Daphnia pulex: one gene and its partner. The main gene of each other region encodes a partner of the protein of the gene in region 2 in a complex. Links are inferred from orthologs where the notes say so. Each region holds a gene or a part of one and is shown on either strand. Other genes may lie near its edges.

Region 1 (4,169 bases), on a different chromosome or scaffold from region 2:
AATTGGCAATGTATTCGTCCGTTTGTTGAAGAAGGAATGCAAGACGTTTGTCTTTTTTCTGATCGATAAGCTTACGGTAACCTTCTTCATCTTCCGCCATCAAGCGACGCATACGCTCTTTTTCAATACGCTCCTGTTCCTTCTTCTGTTCACGTTCTGCATTAGCATGATGTAGTAGGACAGCTTTGTTGATGCGCACAATTTTCGCCTAAAAAGTTAAAATTTTAAAATAAGCTTTCTTATCACCAAAGTATCTGGTATAATTATTTACCAGGTTGTTACGATGAAACTCTTTAAGATCTTTGCCGTGTTGAAGGACCGCAGTAAGATATTCTTGGTGCTTCTGACGGCGTCGGCGCTCAGCTTCCATTTTCTGTTGTTTCTCAAGCTTCTCAGTTGCTCGAGCTTCTCGTAGTCCTTGTTTCTTTGTCCGCTTATAAGCTTTAACGTTGACAGCTGTTTCTAACGTGGTGTCTCTTCTCGTACAAGCTAACACTTCTGAACGCAACTGCCGTTGGAAATTAAGTAATCGCAGAGCACGTAATTCAATTTGCGCCTTAATTCGCAAATCCTCTCCCATTGTAGTAGGTAGATTACTAAGTTCTTCAATACGGTAGGCAACGCGCGTAGCCATGCGATTTTCTCTTTCCTGTTAAAATAAATAAATATATATAATGTTAAGGTTATATTACTTCGAATAGATTACACATACCTGCAAAATTACAACTGGATCTAATCCTGCTGGTTTGGCAATTGGGGTAACTTTGTTTTGTTTAGACACAAGTGTTTGTTGCTGCAGTTGCTGTGGTTGTATCTGCTGTGAATGTGGCATCACGGGTTGTTGTTGCATGAGTGAGGCATTAGAAGTGGGCACAGCTGGTGGTGCTATGATGGGCTGCAATGCAGCATTACCCATTTGAATTGCAGTAGGGGCAGTAGCCCCTTGGGATGGTTGCATCGGATGTACAGGGACCTACAATTTAAGTACAAGTAGCATTTATAACCATTCTAAAACAAATGACATTTTAGAAAATCTACCTGTGGCTGAGGGGGACGAGGAGTCGGTATGGTACCAGGAACTGGACTTGCAGTAGTTCCCGGAGTTGGAGTTCCTGCCGATGGTGGTGGCCCCATAGAAGGTAGCTGAGACTGCTGTCCGCTCGGTGATGGTGCCACAGGTTGCTGAGAAGAGTATGGAGGCCCAATAGGCCGTACGCTAGAAGGTTGCATCGGAGTAGGAGCCGAAGGAGCTGTAGGTCTCTGGAAAGACTGTCCAGGCTGAGACGGAGACGGAACATATATTTGCTGTTGTTGTTGATCCAGCTGTGATACAGTATTAGGCTGCGACTGAAGTGTCGGAAGGTCCGTCCGTTTCCCTTGGGCAGCCATTCCAATATTTGTTGGCACAGGTTGGTTTCGAGCCAACAACCGGTAAGCCATAATTTGCGCTCGTAGCTGGTGGACTTGTGTAGGTGATAGGAATGACGATTTCATAGAATTGGCCCCTTCCGGTCCAGAAGAATTGCCATTAAGGGTCGCTGGATTGGGCGGCCCATACTGCGATGGCACACCAGGTTGTCTAAATATTGGTAATGGATCAGTTACACATTGTTCAGATATATTTTGATCGCAATTCAAGTTACCTGTTAGGATCCATAAGTGGTGGACCAGGACTGTGGCTAGTAGGAGCCATTCCCTCTTGTTTTCCTCTCATGGCAAGAAGAGTAGCATAGCGAGGATCATTCTGCAAGCCGCGGTCTTCCATTGTAGATATAGCTCTTTGCAAAGCATTGATACTGTCAGGTGGATAAGGTGGTGCTCCTGGTTGCTGTTGGGATTGTTGAGGCATTGGTCCACCAGGCTGTGATGGATAATTTGGTTGCTGTGGAGGTTGGTGGTGTGAACCTGGAGGATAGCCACCACTTGCTCCCATATAATGAGGCTGTGGAACTCCACCATGATGCTGCCTTATTGGTTGCTGCATAGGTTGATGAGGAGGCCCCATCGAAACTGCTCCTGACATGGGTGGTGGATAAGTTTGCTGCTGAGGTTGTTGTTGAAACTGGGGAGGGTGTTGCTGCATTGGTGGACCCATGGGTGATGGAGATGGTTGAGGATGGTTCATTGGAGAAGGTGGTTGCGGAGGTGCCATAGGAGAAGCAACTTGCTGTTGTTGATTTCCAGCATTTGAATTTGGATGTGAATGTGGTGCTGGAGATGCAGCAGGATGAGACAAAGGTGATGGCTGAGGTGTTCCAGGCCCTGGCCCAGGTGAAGTCATCATCGAAGAAGGTGGTTCTCCAGATGACATATTTCACAGCCTAAGACACAAAGTAAACAACGGAAAAAATTTTACTAACACAAAATTCAACACAAAAAAGATTTCACATGCACTAATAATATAGAAGAGATAAACATCTACTGAATTTATAAACTTTCATTTACTTCCAAGAGTTTACTTAAAATATGTTGAAGCATCAAATAAAAATGAAAAAAATGTTTGCAAGGGGATGAAAGGAATTGTTCTTTAGATTCATTGCCGGTGAAGTTCGTGACAAGTAATTTTACGAATATATCTTCAGATAATGAAAGTTTAAAAATATAAAGTGTATAATCAATTACACCATTATGGTTGTTAACTCACGTTTCAATAATTGCTTTGCCCTTTATTAGTTTATGTTTGGGAATTCCCTTTCAGAACGAATAATATAGAAAATTATGGCGTTGCGTTGCTTGGCGTTGCTTGGTTCGCCCTCCGTGGGGGTGTGGTGAACTATGTAGTACGAACCTTGAAGATTTTTCTGGAAACAGTTGCCACATGGGATGACAAGCCACAATAAATTTAACGTTTATTTAAATATAATTTCTTATTTTTAGTGAAATCCGTCTTCTCAATAAATTTACCTAAAATTAGATTCCAAAAAATTCATTTACAGACAAGCCAAACGTTAGTGGCATTGGTGTACTCGTGTCATTTGTTTGCATTCTAGCAGACGAAAATCATTATTTTCAATTTCTCACGACTCACGTGTTAAGACGTTCAGTTCAACAAATTTTCCGGAAAGATTGATGATAATAAAACGTTATATTATAATTAACAACGAACTGAAGTACAGTACTTAAAACCGCAGCTTAGTAGCGTGATACAATCGACAATGTCGTTTATATCTGAAAAGCCATTGAATAAAAAAATTATCTTCGACGAACATGTTGAAGAAAGTGATACCATGGTTGATTTGTCTCTTAGCAATGAACAGCAGTCAGAGTCAGCAAAACCCCTGCTCAGGTATGAAAAATAAGCATTGCCATTCATATTATTGTTTTTAAAAATTTTCATATTTTTTAGAAACAAAGCATTCATCCAATTTGATTCAAATCTCTCGAGCCATGATAATAAGTTTCAGAAAGTAACAAAGAGCAACACAGATAAGCCATTTAAAAAAGGCAAGATGGATTTTGAGCAACAGTCTCTACCAGAAGTATCTTCTGAACGTTATTACCAGACAACAGAAGCTCTAGGTATATGAAATGTATTTATGATTTATTGGTATAATGCATATGTTTACACTAATTCATTGTAATCTAGATATTGGCAAAGGTAGTGAGTTCTCTCTACGAACCCTCTTTCAGGAGAGCAATCTTGCAGTAGAACCAGAAGAAGAACCAATTAGTTTGCCACCAAAACTATTTGCCCAGAAAGACCCTAAACTTTTGTTTAAGCCAGAAACAGTGAGCAATGTTGAGCATCAAGGCTATTGGAAAAATGCCGGTATGTGGACGGAACCACTTTTTTTCCACGCTGGAGACAACCGTTTAAAAGGTTTTTATAAATTTAAAACTTATTGTTAGATTTGACAACTATTGTGAACTCAATAATAGTGCATACATTTTGTCTGTTCATAGAGGTTACAGATTTTATCTACCAGCCAGCAAAGGAAGAAGCGTACCGTGACCGAAATAAGTGGTTTGAGCAGCGAGAAAAACTCAAACAATATTATCGTAACAAGATGCGACGTAATGCAATGTGGGTAGCAGGAACTGCACAACAGTCGCAGAAAAAGCGACCACTTGCAGATGGGACAGACGAGTCTTCATTCCAATATTTTGGTCAGCAAGAGGAAATCGAACGTCAACAGAAAAAGAAACCCCACAGAACTTTTTTCAAATAA
Region 2 (4,267 bases):
CAAGTGGACGGGAAGACCCTATTGTGCGAACCGTCTTTCTTTTCTTTTGCCAAGTAAAAACAAACTTGTGATCGAACCATATGAGAATAGTTCTGACAAAATCTGGGCTGGCGATCGTCCAATGGACAGAAAAGTAGGCAAGACATCAATGGGAAAGGCTAAATAAAGGTAGCATTGTGCGTTTCCTCTCGTTTTTTTTTTTTTTCGTATTATGTGTTTGTTGGCCGTACCCATCTTCTTACCTGCTGGACTGGTCCTCCTCCACTTGGCGTCACGGCGTATCGTTGCTGCTGGATTCCGTGTCCTATGGGAGCACCAGGTCCGTACGAGGGATATCCTCCGCCTCCACCCTGAACGCACAAGAAAAGGAAAGGAAAAAACGTAATCAGTCGAAATGAATCCATCAACCAACGGTGTGTGAGTGTGCCGCCACCCAGGGTGAGGGCCAGATTCGAAAGGGATAGTTTATGCTAATAGTGACGTCACTATCTCCGTGGGGGGTTGCGTTTCAACGGGACACAGAGAGGGTATTCCTCCTGCTTCCTTGCTCTTAAAGGACGATCATCACTTTATTTCTTAATCACATTTCATATTCACACAGCAAGGAAAAAGAAGTAGCCATTCCCCCAGAGTCACAAATAGCTCCTTTCCTCCTTCTCCTCCTCCATCACCAATAAAAAAGGGCTCAAAAAGATGAGAGGAGAGAAAGAAAAAAAGAAAAGACAGGGGGTAGCACGAGAGAAAGATGCCTGTCAATGACGTCACCCCTCCCCCCTTCTCTATCCGTCACTAATAACGGGTCAGTAAACACGGCCACGTGGCTCTTTTGCTCCACACTCAAATACACATATTCCACCAAGTTTTGGAAACAAAATGTTCAATCACTCATTCACTCGGCCATCTTTCACTCAGACATCTAGTTCCGACCTCCAACCCATCTATGTAAATGATTCAAGCTGGGGGTGATGGAGCTCTTCTCATGAATGCCTCTACTTAAATCATTCAATTCATTAATGTGCTCCGTAATTAGATCAAGAACAAGAGGTGGGTGTAGACGTCGGACCACTAACGGAATGATCCGTTCGTTACCGACTTAGCCAACTTTCTATATAAACGAGATGATTCATTATTTTGGTCTCTTAATAGCCGTGCAATCAAAAGAATACTTAAAGGATCGATGGGCTATATGACGCAACGTGCACAGCATTCTTCCAATAAAGAAAGTTTTTTCTAAGGAAATTCGGTTTGACCTTCACGTTGTCATCCTGTACCTGCTGCATCGAATTTGGTGGAGGCTTGAATCCAGGAGCAAAATTCCTGGGCTGCTGCTGCTGCATAGGCCAGCCAGCAGCTGGATGCGAATTTGGTGGTGGTGGTGGCTGCTGTTGAGGATAGTCTCCATAAGAATATCGTTGCACTGGCCCTCCTGATCCAGGCTGAAGAAGTTGGTTTAATGTTGGTGTTGAATATCTTGAGGGTGGATAACCCTGTCCACCAGCAGCACCACTACCATGATGAACTGGAGGATAACTCGGCACAGGACCAACACCAGGCCTGGGCATGGAATTCATATAAGCCACTGGTTTTGTGGCTAGCACAGGACTGGACACATTTCGAACCAGGTTGCTGCCTGGATACTGAGGGTACGGGTAGCTGCCCTGCTGCTGCAAATCACCCTGCTGCTGTTGTTGATGAATGTAGCTGTGAGGTGGATATCCAAATCCAGATTGGGCATTTTCATAGCCAGCAGCGGGGGAGTCCACAGGATATCCTACAGGAGGTTTGTAGTAACCCCCGCCTGATTGCAATTTGCTACTTTCGTTCATGTCATGAGAGCCATTGTTGCTGACAGGGGTGGAAGTTGGCCCGTTGGAACTGTTTGTCTCCATCTCCCTCTGAGCATCCACCCCGTTGGTGTTGGGTCCATCCAGATCCTTCATCTCGGGCCCATTTCTGGGAGCTTCCACTTCAGCTTGGGTGCTGGCCATGGTCTTCTGCTTGTTACGATCAACTCACAACTGGTTCAGTTCCATCTTGAGAGAGGTGAGTTTCAGTTGAGGAACACGATAGAACCTGAAAGCGTAAAAAAAGGAATGATGTAAGCCTGTGATCGGTACAAGAAATTCTAGAAAGATCCAGAGATGCTCAGCAATCTAGGATTGGCATCCATTTTTCAGACTTACGCTCGAGTCGAGAGAACTTTTCGAGCAAGAAGAGTTTCAGCTAAAGCACACTTGGCCTCTTATTCCCACGCTGAACGCGTCGCTCCAAGTCGGGCACAAACTCACAATGGATAACACTGTGTAGAACACATACACATTCACACTTAACACAAGACACACACACCAACACGCACTTGCTCACATATGCACACACGGTTTTTTACTTTTTGAAATCTTCTTGTTCGTCTTCTTCTTCTCCTCCTTTTGGGTCTTGTGTGTGTGTGTGGTGGTGGTGGTGAGGAGAGTTCACGAACAGAGAGAGAGCCGGAACGCGCGCGACGACGCTTGGGGAAAAAGCTTTTTCTTTCCAACAACTGACGTAAGCGAGTCAGCCCGCAAGGTGGTGTGCCCCACCGACCAGCAGAGTGTCAAAATTGCAAGAGGCGCGATTCAAACTTTACAGACAACACACTCAATCGACGTAATTTGGGCTGGTGACTTGCCTCTACGGCAATGCATCTTTTTCTCTTGCCGCAGAAATTGTCGTTTCAGTTTCAGTACTTCTTGGTGTCTGAATGCGATGCCAGCGCCACCATTGCCTCTTCTCTCCCACCAAGTTTTGGTTCCAGCAAAAAAACGAAAAAACGCTTCTTAAATTCTCTCCTCAAACCATAAAACCAACTACTTGCCTTTCATTCTATTGGTATTCTCTTCAATTAATTCTTACATTAAGATTGAATCCACTAAAAACTGCGTAAAGACTGAAAATGTAAAAAAAGCCGAGGAACTATTTTGACGAGGTATGCACGGCGGATGGATACATCTGGGCTTCGTTCTCTCTCTCTTTTAGAAAAGACCCGCGCCATTATGATGGCGCTATTGGCCGACGGGCGGACTCTCGGTCCCTTTTTCTTAACGGGCCAAAGAAAATTTCAACTACTTCCACTCGAGGCTCTCTCACGCAATTACGTGAATAACATCAAAGAAATATGAATTTTTTTCTACATCCATATTTAGTTTTTAACATATTCCCAAGTTAAGAGATTCCAAACGATTAGATGCATAATTTTGAATCCATCTGGCATTTTCGCCGTTGCTTCATACGTATACGTACCAACCAACCAAAAGACGGGCGTAGACAATTTCGAAAACAGGAACTGGCTAGCCCCTGTCAAACAACACCTGGCGGGCATTGCAAATTCATTTCGTCGTCTCTATACTACACTCGCTGCTGCTGCTGCTGCTCTACCTGTTGGTCTTGATTACGCTTTTCCCGACTAAAAAATAAAATATTTTCTTCTCTCTACTTATATTGACTTCTTGATGGACTATACTTCTATAAGCGATCACTTACAACATCCAGTCTCATTAAACAAATTTCTAGCTCTCTCTCGTGGCGAACGAAATGAAACTTGCATTCTAACTTCGTTAAGCCATCAATCTCAACCCAACAAAAACGTAACAAACAAAAACAGGTTCTCCCAACAACAAAGTGATTATTTCGCTGTCTAGCTGCAGCCCCCCTACCTATTTACTGCGACGCACCTGAAGCAATGCGTCAGTTGGCAAAACCACTTAGAAAAGAAGAAAAAAAAAATTTGTATTTATTGAGAAACTCTTTTTGGTAAATCAACCTTTATATGATACAGCACGGCAATTCTGACCGCTGAGGAAGTATACCGGTGAGTATGAGGCCGACACACAAAGGGAAGAGAGGGGAATTCCGTGAAAAAATAAAAAAAAGGGTTGCTCATTCAAAAGCGTGAGCAACACGGCAAATAAAATAATCAATCCGCAGCGTCCCATCATGTGGGTCAAGGTCACCACACACGAAAACAGCTAAAAAAAGAGACCATTCAAACAAAGATAGACATTAAGGGAGGGGAAAAGAGCCAATAAAAAAATTCAAAAAAGGATTTGCTTAAGATAGAAAACAAATAAAGACGTAGGAAGTGATGAATGAATGAAGCAAAACAAAAGGTGTCCCCAGTAAAAACCGGGAAAAAGAAAAAACGTATTCAATGAACCACTTTTGCCAATTGCACATGTGCCAATTGTCACTTGTGTATTCGTCAGGCGCTTGCGTTATGCATTTTTACATAAAT

What was found.
Region 1: trithorax group protein osa-like (region 2) and ATP-dependent helicase brm-like share a complex: the UniProt entries of both Drosophila melanogaster proteins name them as parts of the brahma complex. The link is inferred for Daphnia pulex from reciprocal best matches to the Drosophila melanogaster genes osa and brm.

Annotation. Positions count from the first base shown.
Region 1 is NC_060018.1:7,737,307-7,741,475, forward strand, and holds the start of ATP-dependent helicase brm-like, read right to left. Parts: upstream 2,801-4,169; 5' UTR 2,645-2,800; intron 2,322-2,644; 5' UTR 2,312-2,321; coding exon 1,644-2,311; intron 1,580-1,643; coding exon 1,039-1,579; intron 974-1,038; coding exon 713-973; intron 650-712; coding exon 272-649; intron 209-271; coding exon 1-208. Other genes in the region: uncharacterized protein LOC124205796, read left to right, coding at 3,156-3,286, 3,347-3,519, 3,587-3,820, 3,904-4,169. UniProt on the Drosophila melanogaster protein: Transcriptional regulator. Acts as a coactivator, assisting one or more dedicated transcriptional activators of ANTC and BXC homeotic gene clusters. Can counteract the repressive effect of Polycomb protein.
Region 2 is NC_060023.1:7,307,387-7,311,653, forward strand, and holds the start of trithorax group protein osa-like, read right to left. Parts: upstream 2,801-4,267; 5' UTR 2,184-2,800; intron 2,074-2,183; 5' UTR 1,989-2,073; coding exon 1,272-1,988; intron 351-1,271; coding exon 243-350; intron 1-242. UniProt on the Drosophila melanogaster protein: Trithorax group (trxG) protein required for embryonic segmentation, development of the notum and wing margin, and photoreceptor differentiation. Required for the activation of genes such as Antp, Ubx and Eve.